Arabidopsis thaliana: one gene and its partners. The protein of the gene in region 3 interacts with the protein of the main gene of each other region in a pairwise test. Each region holds a gene or a part of one and is shown on either strand. Other genes may lie near its edges.

The links.
Region 1: the proteins of AT3G27770 (region 3) and TRX5 interact in a protein complementation assay, tested with the Arabidopsis thaliana proteins (one large-scale study listed by BioGRID).
Region 2: the proteins of AT3G27770 (region 3) and AT3G03330 interact in a protein complementation assay, tested with the Arabidopsis thaliana proteins (one large-scale study listed by BioGRID).

What each region holds. Positions count from the first base shown.
Region 1 is NC_003070.9:17,073,445-17,079,748, reverse strand, and holds TRX5 (thioredoxin H-type 5), read left to right. Parts: upstream 1-3,331; 5' UTR 3,332-3,492; coding exon 3,493-3,579; intron 3,580-4,215; coding exon 4,216-4,485; 3' UTR 4,486-4,807; downstream 4,808-6,304. Other genes in the region: AT1G45150 (alpha-1,6-mannosyl-glycoprotein 2-beta-N-acetylglucosaminyltransferase), read left to right, coding at 1-69, 512-605, 1,061-1,133, 1,517-1,690, 1,769-1,891, 1,970-2,134.
Region 2 is NC_003074.8:781,835-789,708, forward strand, and holds AT3G03330 (NAD(P)-binding Rossmann-fold superfamily protein), read right to left. Parts: upstream 4,371-7,874; 5' UTR 4,315-4,370; coding exon 4,239-4,314; intron 4,163-4,238; coding exon 4,107-4,162; intron 4,004-4,106; coding exon 3,970-4,003; intron 3,882-3,969; coding exon 3,783-3,881; intron 3,685-3,782; coding exon 3,536-3,684; intron 3,431-3,535; coding exon 3,392-3,430; intron 3,226-3,391; coding exon 3,133-3,225; intron 2,817-3,132; coding exon 2,718-2,816; intron 2,503-2,717; coding exon 2,401-2,502; intron 2,213-2,400; coding exon 2,129-2,212; intron 2,050-2,128; coding exon 1,984-2,049; intron 1,828-1,983; coding exon 1,738-1,827; 3' UTR 1,498-1,737; downstream 1-1,497. Other genes in the region: AT3G03320 (RNA-binding ASCH domain protein), read left to right, coding at 38-209, 299-426, 531-591, 678-726, 859-913, 1,000-1,087, 1,182-1,300, 1,393-1,455; UNE6 (LUC7 related protein), read left to right, coding at 4,371-4,751, 5,040-5,092, 5,412-5,580, 5,671-5,734, 5,852-5,931, 6,027-6,174, 6,463-6,524, 6,607-6,669 and 4 more.
Region 3 is NC_003074.8:10,283,854-10,290,791, forward strand, and holds AT3G27770 (plant/protein), read right to left. Parts: upstream 4,079-6,938; 5' UTR 3,815-4,078; intron 3,729-3,814; 5' UTR 3,622-3,728; coding exon 3,299-3,621; intron 3,207-3,298; coding exon 3,173-3,206; intron 3,086-3,172; coding exon 2,876-3,085; intron 2,762-2,875; coding exon 2,672-2,761; intron 2,544-2,671; coding exon 2,478-2,543; intron 2,388-2,477; coding exon 2,296-2,387; intron 2,214-2,295; coding exon 2,166-2,213; intron 2,050-2,165; coding exon 1,965-2,049; 3' UTR 1,804-1,964; downstream 1-1,803. Other genes in the region: EMB3123 (PPR containing protein), read left to right, coding at 967-1,635; MYB118 (myb domain protein 118), read right to left, coding at 4,914-5,507, 5,926-6,052, 6,159-6,607, 6,716-6,859.

The sequences.
Region 1 (6,304 bases), on a different chromosome or scaffold from region 3:
TTCGCAAGATGGCCAGTGAAATTTACGCCTATGCCCCGGATTCTCGTGTTTTGACTACATACTACTGTGGTATGGTTTATTTTTTGTGGAATTCACATGTTTTAATTAGTTTCTGTCTCTCAAATTTACTTCCTATTTTCTGCTGGGGCTCTGTTTTATTGGTTCTCATGGCTTTGTCTTCCTGTTGATATGAGCTCCAAAATTGGTCAATGGTGAACCATAAATGTAGTTTGTATCAGTAGGTTGATCAGTATACCACACTATGTTATTATGCAGCCCATAATATTAGTTTATTGGGTAACGTTAGTTTGTAAGCAGTTTTCACAATGGTCTGGTAGTTGTATCATATGCTTCATTACAGAGCTTATGGATATTCATACATGTATGTTGGTGAAAAGGGAACTGAAATCTACTAGGTTAAACTGTGACTATGAATTAAAGTTCATAATTTAACAATGCTTTAGCTACTTGAGAAGTTTAGTCAAATAGTCTTACTCTTTTTTTTTTGTAGGACCGGGAGATGCACCTCTTGCTCCGACACCTTTTGAATCTTTTGTCAAAGTTCCAAATCTCCTTCGACCCTATACTCAGATATACTGCACAAGGTAATTGATCATTCAAATTCTCTTAGGTGGCAGTAATTTAATCATTCAAATAAATTGCCTTCTCTTACTTAGGTTTTGTGATTAATGAGGACAAGATCTTAACCTTACCAATCTTTAATTTTAATATCCGGTGGGTGTACTATGTGTGTTGTGTTTATACCTATTAAAAGACACCTAATTGGTTCAGAATAAATTGTATATCATCTGTCAGTTAACAAAAAAATCATTTCCTTTGTCAATATATTTTGAGCAAATACGTCTTTGGTCTTAAATTTTCCCTTTTCCGCCACTCACCTACTTGGATAGACATGGAGGCAGGTGAGTTTAGTATATGAATCTATGATTTAAGAAAGTCTGATGAATTTGGTGAACTTATAGAGAAATCTGTTTTCAACTAGGCTCTCGTTACTTTAATCTTTTATCTCAGTGTTGTTAAATCATGGTTTGATATTCAGTGAGTGGGTGCTTGGTAACCGGGAGGATTTGGTGAAGGATATTCTTGACGAATTGCAGACAGAGAATGGTGAGGTAGGGTCTCTCAGATCTCCATCAACCCTTTTACTTCTTCTTTAGAGAATATTATCCATTGACCCAAGTCTATGTTATTCTCAATGAGGTTTGAAATCGTCTGGTCCATACACCTGAAGTATACTTAACTGAATAGAAATAAAGACTAGAGTTTGGTCAATATAGTTAATTAGTTATCATAAGCTTTGAAAACGTTTGCACGTGTACATGAATACATCTAGCTTTGGTAGTAATGGAATCATCATATGTCGATCAAAGTACTGTAGTTATGGAATGGTTAAATTTGATTCAAGGTCATCTTAATGATGTGCTCATTAGTGGTCCTGTATGTGTTAGCATTTTAGCAACAAGAATCATAAAGAGGACTTTTCTTGCTGGTGCAGGAATGGTGGACATACATATGCCTTGGACCTTCAGATCCTCACCCAAATTGGCATCTGGGGATGCGTGGTACACAGCAACGGGCAGTGATGTGGCGTGTGTGGAAAGAAGGTGGAACCGGGTTCTTGTACTGGGGTGCAAATTGCTATGAGAAGGCAACGGTTCCAAGCGCCGAGGTTATTTTCTTATCCTTAGTTCTGTTGTAAATGTTTCTTGATCGATTGCTTCATGATATTATATAACCAAATGAATAGGTAAAGTTTAGGCGCGGTCTTCCTCCTGGTGATGGAGTTCTTTACTACCCCGGTGAAGTTTTCTCATCTTCTTCAGAGCCAGTTGCTTCACTTAGGCTAGAGCGCCTTCTTAGTGGCTTACAGGTACGTCAACTTTATAGTTTTACCAATCAGATAACAACGAAAAACTGTTCCAGTTGGCTTATTTGGAGAATGAATCAGGATTATGAGTACTTGAAGCTGTATGAGTCAAAATACGGAAGAGAGGAAGCGATGGGGCTATTGGAGAAGACAGGGGTGTACACGGGGCCGGAGCGCTACACTTTGGAACATAGACCGATCGATGTATTGCGAGGAGAAGTGTACAACACATGTAGACCATCTTGAGTAACCAGATCGTTTAGTATCTATAAACACTCTCGGTTAGCCCTAAGTTAATAATAAAAGAACATAACAAGAAAACTCTAACAATGTCTAGATTACCAGTGAAAAAGGTTAATTAGTATGAAAATAATAAAATAGATAGATTTGCTTTGTACTTCTGATTCTTTAATTTGTTGGGAAATACTGTATCTGAAAAAGCTCATTTTATGTGGTGCTAGGTTGATATCATTCATCATAGTCACGTATGAATGGAAGGGCACAAGACATAATCATCCAACAAAAAAGGATATAAAACCTACACTGACTAAAAATTAGGAAAAAATGTTATTTAATCCCCAACTTTCAAAAAATGGCCATTTTATTCGTCAACTTCGTATGCGGTCGTTTAAAACATGAACTAAACGTTGACTAACTTTTAAAACATGATCATTCGTCGACCAGGCCAAAATAGACATGATGTTATCAGTTATTAACGGAACTTCTAACGTCTGTTATCATCTGTTAACGACTTTATTAGTCAAGTTTTAAATTGTGGTCATTTTAAACATCAACTTGGCCATTTAAAACATGAACTAAACGTTGACTACCATTTAAGATATGAACAATTCGTTGACCTGACCAAAATAGACATGTTTTTATCAGTAATTAATAGAACCTAGAAACCCGTTATTATCCGTTAGTGACTGTTAATCAGTCTAAAACGACGTCGTTTGAGAATAAAATTAGTGTCAAAGCGTAAACACACATACAGCCAGCTCTCGGTTCTATCATTAGTGAAAGAACATTACTAGAATTTGATTTATTAGAGGAATAAAGAAGATTGATCAAAAACAGCTTGCATTATTATTCAAAACATAAATCTAGCATATTATAGATAATATTTTTCTTATTGTCTTAGATAAAGTTTCCATTCAACTTTGCACGTCTAAAAGCTCGGAATAGTCCACAAATTATCACATAGAAAAAAACTTATATTCGTGCCGACAAAAACAAACGTTACTTTTTTATATCTGCAAGGACGAGAAAAGAACGGATAAACTCATATATCGTGCACACAAAACATGCGTGTCTTCTACATCTAGAACTGTCGTTACTCGTTACCATCATCACGCCGTTGACCTAGACTCATGCCTATTCTTTAATCGTTTAATATAAACCGTTGGATCCCTTCACACTCCTACGCGTCAAGATCGAACTCATTTTAGGAAAATAATTAAAAAAAAAGACCGAGAAGAGGTAGAGGTATAGGTGGTCAAGTCTTGCCTATAAAAGCTGATCCCAACAAGAATAATTCTTTCATTCACCAAAAAAAACTCATCAATCAAACAAAACTCTTAAAAGCTTAAGAACAAATAATAAAAATGGCCGGTGAAGGAGAAGTGATTGCTTGCCATACCCTCGAAGTTTGGAACGAGAAGGTCAAAGACGCCAATGAATCCAAGAAACTGGTACTTTTCTCTTCTTCTCCTCTCTAGGGTTTCTTCTTCTATTTGATTTGATTACTTTACTTAGGGTTTTCAGTTTTCTTGATCTAGTGGTAAACTGGTAATTCATGTTAGATACAAAACCTTGGTTTTTATCATGTTCATGTACCATGTCTTGATTTGGTCTGAAATTTGATAGAAACTGGTATTTTCTCGTCCTGTCTAGGGTTTTTTTTGTTTTTTAATTTGAGTTGGTTACGTTACTTAGGGTTTAGGGCTTTCTTGGTTAGTTAGCTTAATGGTGAATGATGTTCGAGAAACGGTTGCTTTTGATCCCGTTCTTGTCCCATATCTTGCTCTGGTGGTCCCAAATTGATAGAAGCTAGAACTTTCTCTTGTCCTGTCTAGGGTTTTGTTCAATTTGATTTGATTACTTTACTTAGGGATTACGGTTCGTCTTGATTAGCTACCTTAGTGGTGAATGATAATTGTATCCTGATATGGTCTGAAATTATAGAAACTTTACTTTCTCTTGTTATGTCCAGGGCTTTTTTTCAATTTGATTTGATTACGTTATGGTTTAGGGTTTTCTTGATTAGTTAGTTTAGTGGTGAATGATGTTTGTGTTCTGATTTGTTCTGAAATTTTGATTGAAACCAGATTGTGATAGACTTCACAGCATCATGGTGTCCACCTTGCCGTTTCATTGCACCAGTGTTTGCAGAGATGGCTAAGAAGTTCACTAATGTTGTCTTCTTCAAGATCGATGTTGATGAATTGCAAGCTGTTGCTCAGGAATTCAAAGTTGAGGCAATGCCTACTTTTGTTTTCATGAAAGAAGGCAACATCATTGATCGTGTTGTCGGTGCTGCGAAAGATGAGATCAATGAGAAGCTGATGAAGCATGGTGGTCTTGTAGCTTCTGCTTGATTGATTTCAGTTTCTAACTCTTTGCATCATAATAAAGTTTTTATCTTTCGTATGAAATAAAAGTGATGCATTGCTACTGCACATTTGTATTATAACTATGTTGATTTTTCGATTACTGGTTTGTTATCTCTTGGCTTCAACCACGAACACGAAAATAGCGACACACATTAAGACTGGTTTTAAACACGATAAGAGAGCGTAGGTTGAAAATATGTAGTTATGAACAGAGCAGTGATTAGTTCTCTGATTTCCACTATAAATGTGTGAAAATGTTATGTAATACTATGGAAAAATCACTTTCAACAGCTCATATTTCTCCATCTACGTCACGTCTATATCTCTTTAAGTTCCTTGAAGTTTTATCCAACGTTTCTCTGTTTTTATCCTTGAACAAGAACTGAAACAGAGAAAACAAGAGAAGATGAAGCTGACCTGTAGATTCAAACATTTCCCTATGCTCTTTAGATCCAAAGCCAGCCGCTCGTTCCCTCTAGGCGCGTCAGAGTAGGCCTGTCGATGGGACTAGCATAGACACATAGTGACTCTACTTGAACAAGCGTCAGACTGCATACAGCAGGTTAGAGCTGGTAGGACTTGGTTAGTGATCCACTACAAAAATAATCCATATCAATAGCACACGAGGATAGATCAGTTTTCCCTACTGCAATAAAAGATGAGTTCATAGTTCATATTAAAAATGAGTTCATAGATGCGGCACAGAGAGATGATTCGAGAACAAGTGAGGAGATAACGGATTTAACAATACGGTTGAAGGAGGCTTATATAGATGAAGAACAATATTGGTACCAGAAAAGTAGGAGTTTATGGATGAAGGTTGGGGATAATAACTCAAAATATTTCCATGCTCTAACAAAACAGAGACGGGCTAGGAATCGGATCATAGGACTTCATGATGAAAATGGAAAATGGTTTGCAGAGGATAAAGATGTCCAACATATAGCGGTGTCTTATTTTGAGACTTTGTTTAATAAGTCGAATCCCCAGAATATTGCGGAATCTTTATCAGAGGTTAAAACTTTAATAACGGATCAAATAAATGACTTCTTAACGACACCTGCTACAGAAGATGAGGTAAGAGCGGCTTTGTTTTTGATGCACCCGGAAAAAGCACCAGGGCCTGATGGTATGACAGCGTTATTCTTTCAAAAACCATGGGCTACCATAAAAATGGATATGCTTTTTCTGGTTAACTCTTTTTTACAAGATGGAGTTTTCGATAAACAGTTAAATACGACTAATATATGTTTGATCCCAAAAACGGAACGACCGACTCGAATGACGGAATTAAGACCCATTAGTCTTTGTAATGTCGGGTACAAAATTATTTCAAAAATCCTTTGTCAAAGACTTAAGAAGATTCTTCCAAGTCTTATTTCGGAAACACACTCTGCTTTTGTTGAAGGACGTTTAATTTCAGACAATATTCTTATTGCCCAGGAGATGTTTCATGGATTAAGAACTAATCCGTCATGTAAAGGAAAATTCATGGCGATCAAAACTGATATGAGTAAGGCGTATGATAGAGTTGAATGGAATTTTATCGAGGAATTATTAAAGAAAATGGGTTTCTGTGAAAAGTGGATATCGTGGATAATGTGGTGTATCACAACAGTCCAGTATAGGGTCCTACTTAATGGACAACCTAGAGGACTAATAGTCCCAAAGAGGGGTTTAAGACAAGGAGATCCACTCTCTCCTTATCTATTTATCCTATGTACAGAGGTGCTCATTGCAAATATTCGAAAGGCAGAGCAAGAAAAATTGATTACGGGTATCAAAGTGGCAACAGCAAGCCCAT
Region 2 (7,874 bases), 9.5 Mb from region 3:
TTAATTAAGAGGCTTAACGTTGGCGTTTTTGACGAAAATGGAGCAACCAATGTCGCCGGGAACGAAGTCGGTGGATCTCCGAGAATGCATGGAATCACTTCTCCGTTTTAGTCTGAGATCTCATTTAAACGAATCTGTTCCAAGTTTCGATCTTGACCTGACCAGAGATTTTTGTCTTCATCTCCTTGGGGAAGCTACAGATTCAACAGGTACGTTTTGCTAATTAGGAAGCAAATTATGAAACTTGAATGCTGGAGAGAAATAACTGAAATTTTCTCATAAATGTTTCAATTAACAGAAAAATCTGCGGTGTACAAGCTTCTAGCAACGGCTTTGTCTGAATGTCTAGCTTCCGAGGGTGATAAAAATTCTAACTTGGAAAAATACAGCAAACTGATTCATGGCTTGGGATATGACTTAATAAATGTAAGTCTATATGAAAACTTTAGTTCTCAACTATTATTGCATCAAAACAGAGTGGGAAAAGTTAGTTTTTGGAATTTTTACACAGAAAAGGTTCTTTGTTTCAGATGTTGAAGGAGGTGAACTTTGAGCTTCATGTCCAAGAGCCTTACTTCACCCAATTGAAAGGTACATTTTCTGGTTACTTGATTGTAGTATTACAATTATATTTGCTCAATCTCACTTTTATTTCCGGGTGCCTCTCAATTTGTCAGATGGTTTGAAAACTGTTGAAGGAAGATGCGCAGTGGGAGACTACATGAGGTCTGATGTTTTTATCTTTGTGCAAATGTTAATTCACATTCATCTCTTGTGCTTGCTTTTCCGGGTTTTCTGTTTTGCTGATTCCAATAGCTTTAGATTGTCTTATTGACTTCAAAATTGGTTTACTCACAGAATTAGTTCAGGAGATTTTCTTTTGTTCAATAAATGCTTGCTGCTTGAAGTTCAGGTAGTCATCAATCTTGTATCTCTGTCAATTCTTCCTTGTGAGGCAAACACTATACCTCTTGTTACTAACCATTTTGATGAGGGCAGGACGTTCACCGTTATACTTCATTCTCAGAAATGCTGAAAGTGGAGGGTCTTGCCAAAGTTCTTCCTGGAGTTGAAAGTATAGAAGAAGGTTTGAAGATCTTTACCATAACATAGAACGTTTGGAAAGCGTCTCTTTTGCTATGTGGACTTTGTTCTAACCTGAAATGATGTTCTATCTGCAGGTGTTCAAGTTTACCGAAACTTTTATTCTGAAGAGAAGGAAAGAATGAACGGTGTTGTAGCTATTCGTGTTGCAAAACCAGCTAATCAGCCTTCTGCAGCTTTGGCAGGAGTATTGTCTGTGAGTTTCTGGCAGCAAGTCAAACTCCAGAAGCTTTCGTTAGTCTTCAATGTATGCATCATATAGCTTTCTTTTCGGTTCTTCTTTTGTAGGAACTGAAGTCCAGTGGGATCAAAAGCCTGTTGGATGAATACACAGCTGGGGTTACCTCGTAGCTGCATCTGAAAACCTTTGTGCGCAGAGAAACTACTCAATTTGAAGGGTTTTGATTTCTCTACACTCGGATGATGTTAAATTTGTGTTTGTTTGTGTGTACGAGTAGCTAAATCACAGAAGATCACATCTTTTCTTACTTATTGAGCACCTCACAAGGCAACAAAACATTTTTCGACGCTTTGGTAGTTATTTAACAATCAAACTAGCAAACAAACACCAACCACATTTACGGACTAAGGCTCAACCAACCACATCTATGTGTATCTTCTAGAGAATCAGCTTCAGTTTGTTTTAGTCTTCTTCCCGAACAGTAAATCCCACGAGTATGTGTTGCCTTTCTTTTCCGCGACCTCCACACGCTTTCCTCCAACCTGCAAGCCGTTCATTTTAATCAAAAGACTGCTTTCAACAGAGTAATAACTGCCCCTGTTTTCTCTTTGTCAGATGTGTTTGTCACATTATAATGGAAACAAAACGACATCTCATACCGGTAACTTTTGAAGAAAATTAATGGATGAGCAAAGTACCTTGTCCATGAGCCAGAAGCCAAGGGAAGGCATGTACTGCACTAGATACATCACGAGTAGTACTGGCTGAAAAACAGTGAAAAAGAAACTTATATATCAGACATCTAAACCGAGTATCACATATGCAATATTTATAAAGATGTACCTGATATGAAATCCAAGCTTCCTTCAAGTTATGAGATGCAGCGATTATAGTCAGCTCTGCACATCGTTCAGATGACACACGTTTCTGCGTAGCAAAGAGAATAGATGCTTGAGAGAAATCAAGTTGAGCAAGGAGCTGAAGTTAGAATCTCCAAATGTTGACAAAGAATATGATTCTACGTGTATCTACAAGGAAATAATGAATCAAGCAATGGGAGAAGTACTTGCTGCTCACAACTTAATCAAATAATCACAATCATAATAAGTACCAACCTCAGGAGACTTGCTGTCTTCCGAAGTTGATGTTCCTGTACCATTCCAGGTTTCTATTGGACCAGGACAAACGACGGTAACCTTGATTCCCTTCTGACAGAACTGAAACCATGCACAGATGATTGTAAACTAACTGTTAGTTTTTGTAATTGATTGTGCTATTTTCAACAATAAAATGTAAATGAAAAAACATAGCGAATCAACATATGAAGCTTATTAAAACTCAGGAGTAGCTGTAAATTTTCACTTGTGATTTCAATAAGTCAATTTCTGCCAACTAATTAGCAAGCACAACAGTTTCTTTACTTCTAACATACCTCAGAACGCAAGCTGTGGAAGTAGCCATGAAGAGCATGTTTTGAAGCAGAATATATAGCCTGTCCAGGTGATGGTACCTTTCCTGCAGCACTGCTTATCTGAGCATAATTGACGTGAATTATTACTCATGACATTTAACCCAATAAAATGGACAATTAGTGCATGATCATAGCCTGAGTTCCATAACATTCAAGCTATGGTAAATACTAACCTGAACGAAACCTTAAATTGTCTATATACCCTAGTATCCTCAGATTTAACATATATAGTCAAGATTCAATACTGTGATTACAACAATTAACTAACATATAAAACGCAATGTTATCCACATATATAAACTATGATATGAAGCTCAATCCTTAAATATAATTCCACAAAATTAACAAAAACTATCCCCCAGTAGTCTCCACGTACCACAACAAAATGACCCCCTCCTTGTTTTAGCATATGAGGAGCTACCAACTTTGTCAGAGATATCGTCCCAAAGACATTAACATCGAATGTAGTCTGCACACAAAATCATAGATTAACCATATGTCAGAAAGAAATATCAAAATCACCCATGTCCTAATTGTTACAGGCTAACTATGGCAATAGAAACAAAAAATACCTTGAGAGTTTCCTCAAGAATTAATAATCTTGCCTACGAATTTTACGCAATTAATTTTAGTACCTTGAGAGTTTCCTCACTTGCATCCGATGCCTTGGATTTCTGCAAGGAAAAGAGTATGATGATGACACCCGCTTGAGTAAACATATCTAAAGCCTAAGACTCTCTATTGAGTAGATACAAAACTTTAGCAAGGAAATTACTTACCGGACGCTCAAAGGCAGCATTGTGAACCAAATAATCAACACCAGCTCCAGGGAAAAGCGACACTGCTTGCTCTACAACATGTTTGAGTGACTCTTCGCCGCTAGCTAAATCTAAAGGCAAAACCTTGACATCTTCTGGTGCAAATTTACCTAGAAGAAGAATACAGAGTCAGTTACATCACGTGTCAACAAAAAGCTCACAATTGTAAACTGGAGAGCTTTCTTTGATTCATTGTGTAAGAAAGTACCTTTAAGCTCACTCTTAACCCGATCCAGTTCAGCTTTATTCCTAGCAGAGAGAATAAGCTTGGCATCTAAACTTGCAAACTGTTTAGCAAGAATTTCACCTGAATCCAATCATAAACATGAAGAGTAAGCAGCCACAATAAAAGTTATCTCTTCACAGATATATAATCCTAAGAAAACATTCGTTACCAATTCCACGGCTAGCCCCTGTGATCCAGACGACCTGAGCAAAACCAAGAAATCTGAATTAATGCTCAGAGATTGAAATAATCGAAAACTCAAATCAATCCCACTAAATTCCATTTTTTCCTCTATCAATCCAGTACCTTGCCTTGTATGGCCTCACGCTTCACATGCTTCTTCGAAATCAAGGTAAAATCTCCTACACAAAGCAAAGATCAATCCTTTTATACATAAAAGAAGTTAAACATTGCATTAGAAATCGTCAGAGTTATTACCATCGGCGAATGCAAATTTGAAGAGCAGAACGATAAGAAGAAGCGCTCCGAGAGAGAAGAAGAGTAGAGTCAGCATTTTCTCGGATTGAAGCAACCAGCGAGAGACCAAGTCTTCTTACCCGTGGGCAAAATATGTTGACAGAAATAAATGTAGGAGTAGAACATAAATTATTAATATATAGGGACCTGTATGCAATTAATCTTATATACCAAAATCTTATTACATCCGAATGCCATTGTTCCTATCATTGTGTTGTCTTTCGATCAAAAAACCCCAAATCTCTGTTTGCAGAGAGGACGAGGAAAGAGAGAGAGAGAGAGAGAGAGAGAGAGAGAGAGAGAGAGAGAGAGAGAGAGAGAACGACTATGGACGCTATAAGGAAGCAGCTTGATGTGCTCATGGGAGCTAACCGAAACGGCGACGTTCAGGAGGTGAATCGCAAATACTACGACCGTGATGTGTGTCGTCTTTACTTGTCTGGTCTCTGCCCTCACGATCTCTTCCAATTGACGGTGCTTACCTTTATATTTTTTCAGTTTATTACTTAGTTGTCTCTTTGAATAAAAAAACCCTAATTTCACTTTTGAGCTAATCTTTTGTGTTTCTGCTTTAGCTCGAATTGATAACTGGTATTTGGTTACTTGATACAGTGTGCAGTTTTGTATCTTATAGAGTATATCTGAATTCTGAAACTTGTATCGCTTCACTGTTTTCTATGAGTATCTGTCTAGTAATTTAGTGCATGGCTACTTTGGTTTGCCTAATAACTGATGCTCCTTTTACATTTCTGTTGTTATCAGAAAATGGATATGGGACCATGCCCAAAGGTGCACTCTTTGCAGCTTCGGAAAGAGTATCCTTTGTTTACAGTAAGTTTAGTATTTACCTTATACGGTTACCATGAAGGCCGCCTACTTCCATGGCCTCTTTCAATTGAATTTGACATTTGAACATACTTACTAATTGGGTTGATATCTGTTTTTTGCTCATGTTTTTGCTCTTCTTCCTGGTTTTTGCTTGAGATAATACGTTAAATGAATGGATAGTGCATATAAGACTAGCCTATGCAGATTAGTTACAAAAAAAAGTTGGTGTCATTGTTATGTTTAGTTTGATTCTACAGTGGCATGTTGTTCTCTTTCCACTCCTGTGTTGCTTTAACTCGCCCTTAGATACCGAGAAGCAAGGGCAAAAGGTGTTGATAACTACGACAGGGAATTGGAAGATGCCATAGACAGGCTTATCGTTGAGTGTGATAGGAAGATTGGTAGGGCCCTTAAGCGTCTTCAAGAAGAGGACGCCAAAGCTGCCATTGCCATTTCTGTCTCTGAAGTCACTCAGGTGATTATTTGATTTTGAAATTTGGTTTATGTGTCTTCTAAGTTTGCAACACTCAGGTTTGTTTATCATCATTACATTGTTTAACTGCAGTCGCCTGAAATTCTCGAGTTATCGGAGAAAATCAAAGAGAAGATGAAGGAAGCAGATATCCACGGTAAAAATTAAAAGAATATTGCCCAGCAAATATTACTTTGCTGTTTCGGCTTTGTTTTTGCAAATAATTCTTGACTGGTTATTGGTAGTCTTTCAAAGTTCTGATGTCACTTTGCAGATCTTGAAGGCAAAATGGATCTTAAGATTAGAGCTCTTGAGTTAGTCGAAGAGATGAGGACCAAGAGAGCTGACCAACAGGTGAATTTGCTTTCGCTATTGGCTTAATGAGCATTTTTGCTTTTTTACTTTACCTATGTCAACTAGAAAGTCCTTTGTCTTGTTTTTTCATGTAGGCGGTGTTGCTGTTGGAAGCCTTCAACAAAGATAGAGCATCCTTGCCACAGCCCGTTCCAGCTCAACCACCATCTTCCGAATTACCTCCACCGGATCCTCGCACTCAAGAAATGATAAATGAGAAACTGAAGAAGGCAGAAGATCTTGGTAAGGGAAATAACCCTAATTTGTGTTTGGTTATTTGTCTATGGTCATCTTAATTTAGAGCTCATTGTAGTGGAAAGTTGAAACTGCTTAAATATCCACGGTCTAGTATTCCCTGCCGGCTGGGAATTTCTACTGGCTAATCTAAGATTTCCTAACCTATAAATTGCTTAAACTGTATATACCTAAGATAAGGAAATTTCTTCCCGTTGTATGTTACTATATCTATGTTAAGGAAACACTGGACTTCACGAAGTTTTATATAGATTGTATGGTTATTTGATATTTTAGGTGAACAAGGAATGGTTGATGAAGCCCAGAAAGCCCTGGAAGAGGCTGAAGCTCTTAAGAAGGTGTGTTCTCTTTCTTATTTCTTTTTCTTTTCCCCCTACTTTTATTAGTCACTAATAATTGTTGGGCCTAAATTTGTTTCAGCTTACAGTTAGACGAGAACCTCCAGCAGATTCAACGAAGTACACCGCTGTTGATGTGCGCATCGTAAGTTACCATCACTCCTCCCAATGATGCCTTAAAGATTCACATTCCTTCTATATTTATCAGTTTGTTTTGGAAAGTACCGTTGAATATAGGAATGACAACAGTCATATATTAACGTTTAGGTAAAGAGTAATAGTTTATTTGAGTAAACCCGTTTGATTGCTTTCATAAAAGTTACTATTTGGACCAAAAGTATAACATCTTCGCATCCCCTGTTTAATGTATCTACACATTGGTTTCATCTTCTAACCTCACTTATTGTTCCTATATCTTCTCAGACAGACCAAAAGTTGCGTCTATGTGACATATGTGGAGCATTCTTGAGCGTCTATGACAGGTTAAGTTCCTTGCTCAAACTTTCTGCATTATTGTTTCCCTTTTGGATTGAAAGAGAAAAAAGGTAGAAATAGTCTTTTGACTCCGGCTATTGTACCTCCTCCTTTCACCAGCAGGCTTTTTGGGCAGGATTACTTTTGCAGCTATAATAAATGTGCGTTCTTTTCTTGATTTTATTGTGCTTGAAGGATCTTACTAGTAGAGATTAACTAATGGAGTTTTTAACGTTATACTGTTTTAATATGCTATCGTCAAATGTTTAGCATTTGGCTATGCTAATTGGAACTTTTGTGATGCTACAGTGATCGCCGTTTAGCTGATCATTTTGGGGGGAAGCTTCATCTAGGATACATGCTAGTCCGGGACAAATTAACAGAGCTTCTGGTAAACTAATAACACAATCTACTTTATCTGATGATGGATGAAACTGCCTTCTTATATTTCTCTTCGTTTACTTCAGGATGAGAAGGCCAATATACGCAAGGAAAGGTTAGGTTTTAGTTCTAGCTTCTTGTTTCATTGTTTTATTACGGTGTTGATTTGAAATTGACTTCATAGTGAATACTTAAAACCATACTTAGATCAAAGGAACGGAACAGTAAGGAGAGAGAATCAAGTAAAGACCGAGAGAAAGAACAAGAAACTAGTCGTGAACATCGAAGAGATTATGATCGCAGGAGTAGAGATCGAGATAGGCACCATGACCGTGATCGTGAACAAGACAGAGACTATGATCGGTCACACTCAAGAAGCAGACGTAGGTCACGCTCACGGTCCAGGTCAAGAGATAGACCAAGGGACTATGATCGCCACAGGTATAAAACCAGAGTCATGGTTGTCTTCTTTTTTCCCTAAGAACTTCACATTTT
Region 3 (6,938 bases):
TTGGTGGGTCGATAGCTCTTTTTTTGAAATTAATTCGTTGTTATTATTACAGTATCTTGCTTTGACTTTTGTTGACTTTTTTCTCTAGTAAATTTGGTCACATAATCATAGTTTTGTTGCTAAATAAAAAGGGATGAAAATCATAGTTTTGTTTATTATAAAAATAGAATAAAGTATCGAATATATGTCTAAATTTAATATTTAAATAATTATATATATAAATAGATTTTATATAAATTCGAAATAGAATAAATATAAGGTTAAATAAAAGTAAAAAAATCATATATTTATATTTTAATAAGGTAAAAATGTTTTAGGATATTAGTAATTAAACGAGTTAAAGAAATATAAGATTTAAGATAGAATGTTGCTAGCATTCTATCTTGATTTTTTGAAGACTGATTTCAGTTAGAATTGTGGCAACAAATATGAAGATTCCAGTACTTAGGTCATATGGTAAAATCACGCGAATTCTTAAGTTTTACAAGATCGAATTCGGTGGTTCTCTTTGTAACTTGGCTTTCTTTGCTTAGAAGCGATCCAAACCTTTTTTAGTAGTAATGTTGTATTTATTTTTCTGTAGATTATTTTTATATGTATTTTGTAATCTTTGTAATTATGTTAAAAATTAAAATTGGTATAAAATTTAACTTTTTAACAAAAAAAAAAACAATCTGAAAAAAAAAGAAGAAGATAAAGTCGTCAAATTGGTATAAAATTTAACTTTTTAACGAAACAAGAATTTGAAAAAAAAGAAGAAGATAGAGTCGCTCTTGCAAGTGTAATGATAGACTCGTGTAGAGAAATTAGCGGGAACAGAAATATAAACGACGCATAATTAGAAAGTATAAATTAATTAATTTTGTGTCACATATGGGCCTTTTATAAATTAATATGGGCTTGCCCAATGAAAGACCATCTCTCTCACTCACACAACCACACTCGTAAAGATTGGTGTGATTAATAATGGCGCTTTCTCTCAGCCAGACTCGACCACCAAGCCTTAGCCATAGCCATACCCTTAGCGTCATCGTTCCTAAGAGAACGTTCGTTTCGATCCGATGCGGTCCACGAGACAACCGCGGACCACTTCTCAAAGGCCGAATCCTAAGCACCGAAGCAATCCAATCAATCCAATCTCTCAAACGAGCTCATCGAACCGGTGTCTCCCTCTCCCTTACCCTCCGTCCTCTCCGCCGTCTCATAAAATCCGATCTCATCTCCGTCCTCCGTGAGCTTCTCCGTCAAGACTATTGCACACTCGCTGTCCATGTACTCTCCACTCTCCGTACAGAGTATCCTCCTCTTGACCTTGTTCTATACGCAGACATTGTTAATGCTCTTACGAGGAATAAAGAGTTCGATGAGATAGATCGTCTTATTGGTGAAATTGATGGAATTGATCAAAGAAGTGATGATAAGGCTTTAGCTAAGTTGATTAGGGCTGTGGTTGGAGCTGAGAGGAGAGAGTCGGTGGTTAGGGTTTATACCTTGATGAGGGAAAGTGGTTGGGGGTCTGAGTCATGGGAGGCTGATGAGTATGTCGCTGAGGTTTTGAGTAAGGGTCTCTTGAGACTAGGAGAGCCAGACTTGGCTTCTCAAGTCTCACTCAAATCTTCAATTCTAAAACCTTGAATTTTCGGGTTTTCGGTTTGGTTTGGTTCGGTTTTTGATTAAGTTCATACACTTTTGGCAAAGATTGCACTATATTCTGTTGCTATGGTTAGTTCTTTCGATTTGGTTCGAGCTGAAATCAATTCGGGTAGCGAAAAATTTACGAAATGGTTCATTGCGATATGCGAATTGGATCGGAAGTAAATAGTTTATGCATTGAAATGTTGTGGCGTTTACAATGATCTGTTTTGAAGATTTTAGACATATGGGGTAAAAAATTGTTTCTTTGATTGTTGTAACCCTTGAGCACTGACTCTTACGGGGCAGAAACTCTTGGATTCGAAATGACTTCAAGAAATGAGTTTGTATTTGATTTTGACGATTAATGCAAAGAGGCCATAAGAAGGAAGATGCAGGAGTGCCACCAACAAATACCTGCAGATGCATGAATTAAAATATTAAGGATAGGCGTAATCATTCTAAGGAATGAAACATTATGATATAAACCAATCCTGACTAGTGTCTAGTATGTAAATGTTTTCAAGGCTTACCACACTGGAGCCATGTCTAATGACAGGTTGAGAAATGGATATGGCCACCTAAGTCAATCGAGGAATACAAGTGTAAGATTAATCAAGACGGTAAGTGTAACATACAAAAGATGACAGAGAAGAGTTTTACCCAACGGAGATAAACATGTGGAGAATCCACTGGAAAAGAACGAAACATCCTGTCCATAAGATGAAGTAAGAGAACCTGAACAATGGAAATTTCTGCAAAGCAACATCACAAAAAGACCTCAGGTTCAACACATTAATGAAAACGAAAACTCGTCGTAAATGCAGAGGAAAGAATTGTTTTACCAGACGGTTTAGAAACGTGTCAATAAGCAGCAAAACGAGGTTGCTTGTGTGCAAATTCACAGTCATCTGAAAACACAGAATTTTGACACTAGAGAAGTTGAGACTAAGTTCAAGAGGGTCAAGTGCAACGTAGAAAGTGCCATCAGCAGTGTACAAGCTTTAACTAATATACGGTAAATGGCGCGAAAACTTACGAAACTCATCTCATAGTCCTGTAAAGACAGAAACGGGAAAATCACGGTCCAATATATACTGTCTGTAAGCACAGCTGCTCCAGCACCCATCTGTTTTTCAACAAACCAAAACACACAAGTATCAGTGATCATATATACACTAATGAAACAAGAAATCTGAAAGTTGCAAACTATACATCATAATAACCAAAGGAATCTGTCTACCTGATATATAATCTGGAAGAGATGAACATATGACTTTAGTGCTTCCGAACCAGAAGTTTTTCTCTTCTCGAACGAAACCATGTTGTCACCATCTATAAGAGGCGAACGAAACCCGTTCTCTGCATCGATTCCTACTTGATCAGCGATAAGTCCAGTGTTCCCTTGCTTCTTGTATTGTAAACATCCATAAATTGAAAGCAATGATCCCATCTACACAACACACAAGTGACAACAAACATTCAAACAAACTTGACTATAACCATATACATATTCACAACATCAAAAATCAAAACATACCCCGAAGTAGATTGCTATCAAAGTGAATGTCCACCTACCAATCAAAACCTCAATCATATCAGTCTCAAAACATCAAAGATATTCCCTTTCCACACAATAAAGCAGAGATCTTTAAAGAGAACTTACTGAGTATAATAGTAGTAAATACGCCATCCACGATTAGCAAACCGGGCAATATTGTTAGCAAGAAGGAAACAAAACCCGAGAACCCGAAAACCCAACAACCAACCCGGATGGATTCGTTCAAAACAAGGTCTCCAAACATCATCAATGCACAAAACATCATTACCATTAAGTGATGGTTGAGTTTGAACTGAACTATCTTCATACTTCCATAAGACTAATAAAGAAACAATCATTGGAACTATTACCCATATAGCACATAGTAACACTCTCCAATTAAACCAGTAATCAAAGCTGGTGAATTCCAAAACATTCTCAAGATTCATTTTTTTTTTCTTGTTCTCTTGTTGATCCGTCTGAATATTCGGATCTTTTAGATCCGAAACTCAATGGGATCAACACCGGACTTGAAAACCCAGATCAAAAACTGTCTCTGCAGAGGAGTTAAAAGTAGCTTAATTGATTTACATATAGAGATATTAGTGTTAAGATTAAGTAGCTTTGATTCTTGATACTTACGTTATGTTAAGAGAAATGTAGAAGCTTGTCCTTGTTCTTGTTGTTGTGTGTGATGGAGAAGTCAAATTGAAACTTGGAAGGTGATGAGATATGAGATATGTATAAATCTGAAGAACAATCCAATGGCGGTGTCAGAGGCCCACTGGAATCGGAGAACACAGAGTGGAGACAAGGACAGGTGGGACCTTCTCCGTTTGTCCAACGCTTAGTTGCCAAACGACGTCGATTTGGTTTCGTGTGTATTTTACTTAAATAGGCCTAAATCACAAATCTCATATAAATGGAAAGATATCTACAAGCCCATTATTATTTTTAACTATTTGTAGTTAAGACTAAAATTGTTAAGTTTTTTTTCTTTTTTTGTTGGAGGAATTGCACAAAAAGAATAAGAAGTAATGGTTTATTGTATTTGGTTAAGATCTCAATTTTCTATGTAGTTAGTCAAAATATCATTAATGAATATAGATCCCAAAAGTTTTATGTATTTTTCTTTTAGTTATGTATGACTTTTCGAATGGTGATATACAAAACAAATGGAAAACCAAAATATAATGTATACAAAACTCTCATTACGTTTTTTTTTGTTTGTGTTTTGCCTAAAATTTCTGGTATTACAATACGACGGACCATATAGTCATTATGACGGTAAGGTAACAAATTCCAGAAAATTACAATACAACGGACCATACACATATTATCCCATATTACATCATACTAACCAGATATTTTGTAAACAACTAGTACTTTTTTTCTTTAGCATAGTCGATATAAAATTATTCTTTAGTGACTAAATGTACTTGTTGTGGACCTAATGGTCGTCTTCTCCTAACCGCAAACGCAATTACCATTCATATAGTATAACAGAAAATTTAACAATATATATAGATTCTTAATTAAAATGAAATTAGAGAATAACAAAAAAAAAATCTGATAAAGCAAGAAAACCTTCAATTTTTGTTTAGTCCAAAAGAAACCTTCAATTAAACCACAATATATATTACATGTCCAATTCTTCAATTAAAAGCACAAACATAATTTCATAAATAGCATAATTATATAGGTAGATATAATCAAGTTCGACTTGTTTATATTGCACGGTCTAAAGACGACCATGAGCAATCATCTCCAGCAAAGCAATCTCGTTCATCATAACTTCATCACATCCATGCATCACCATCCAGCTATCAGTCATCGGCTCATCAATCTCCATGGTCACACCACTTCCAGAACCAGACGCAGAACCAGAAGTAGACGCTGATCCGGAGGCCGACATAGCCGCCAATGACGGCATCTTGATCCTTCCATCTTCTAAACCCAAGTTATTCACACCATCCACAATATACTTACATTCACCCTCATCATACTCCGAGACCGCAACCATTACATTCTTACCTTTACCTCTCATGTTTCTTGGACCAATGTTTGCGTTTGCATTTGCGGTCATGAAAGGATCATCATTGTAGGTAACAGACCTAATGTAGTTCTGAAGAGTGTTGCTACCAAGTGAAAGGGAAATTTCATCTTTTCCTTTAGTCCTCCTCGAGTGTTGTCGACGTTTAGTCGCGTTCCAATGGTTCTTGATCGTATTTTCAGTGCGTCCCGGGAGTTTTCGAGCTATCTCAGCCCATCTGTTCCCAATCTCCTTATGGGCTTTTATCAGTATTATATCCTCTTCTTCAGTCCATCCATCTTTCTGTAACATACCACATAAAATATGCTTTATATGTAAATAATACATACAATATTAAACAAATATTTTTATTTTTTATATGTTTTTTTCTCTTTTATGTTTGTTGAATTATATGAGAGAATCCAAGTGACAATGACTTTAGTTTAAATGTCTTACCAATTGTGAAGTTTTGTCCGCAACAAGAAGACAAAATGCCTTAAAGAATTGTCATAGACATATATGTATATACAAACAAAAGTTTAAAGTATTCATGCATGAAATAAAACCGTATACATGTTGACAAGTGTGAAAAAAGTTTGTTAATATTCTCTTAGAAGATTCTCAATGTATCATGTAATGAATTTGAAAGTATCGAAGATGATATTTTGTTTTTGTTTCTCCTATGAAAATAAGAAAATGAAAATAAAATAAAATAAGAGACCTTGATATCGGGACGGAGATGGTTATGCCACCTTTCTCTGCACTGTTTTCCAACTCGTCCTTGAAGCATCTTAGCAATCTGAGACCATTTTTTAGTTCCGTGAAGGTCCACTAGCTGCACCAATAACCTAAATATAGGTAGAATCATTAGAAAATATTAATATTAAAAACAATATCATACTAGATTAAGAAAATTATTTATGAGAATTCCAAAAAATTAGATGTTGAATTTACTTGTCTTCTTCAGGAGTCCATTGTCCTTTGATGATGCTAGCTTTTTTTGTGGGTTTACATATCCTCCTCATCTGAAATCTCTTGTTCTTCTTCTTGATCTGCTCGGTCTTGATCATTACCTGGTTATTTTGACGTCGATTCATGATGGTGTCTTCGTTTGCGCTCAAGAGTGGTTTTGGCATATTGAATTGATTAGAGTCCGCCATGGCTTGATTGAGGGTTGACTCGGTTCCAAAGATGAATCCTTGGTTTTGATCGTTTTCCCACATAGTATTGTCATGTGAGACATGTGAAACGTTGGGTTCAATAGTTGGTGGGGTGGTATAGGCCATGCCAAAAAAAACATGGTCGTTGGATGTGCCATGAAAACATGCCTCGAAAGCTTCAGTGCATGGAGAAGGAGTGATGCCCCTAATGGTTTCTTTTGATGGTATTTCATATGTGTGAGGCTGCATATCAAAGTGATAGGGAACAATATTAAGATTTTGAGTAAAGTGATAGGATTGAGATCTTTAATGTGAGATTCTTGTGAAAAAAAGATCAGGATTAGAGTTTACCATCGATGGTTTGTGATGCACATTGTGTACACAAGAAAAATCATCGGTAAGAGATGGATGAAAATCTTTTAAAGTGGAGCTATCATCGTAGATAACGGCTGCGAGATACGGATAATGCATTTTGAACACTGACTCGAACTCCATATGATTATGATGGCAAAAAAAAAAAAATACAACGTTTAGAAGATGGAACTACCTAAACAAAAAAAAATTGAGTGAAGCA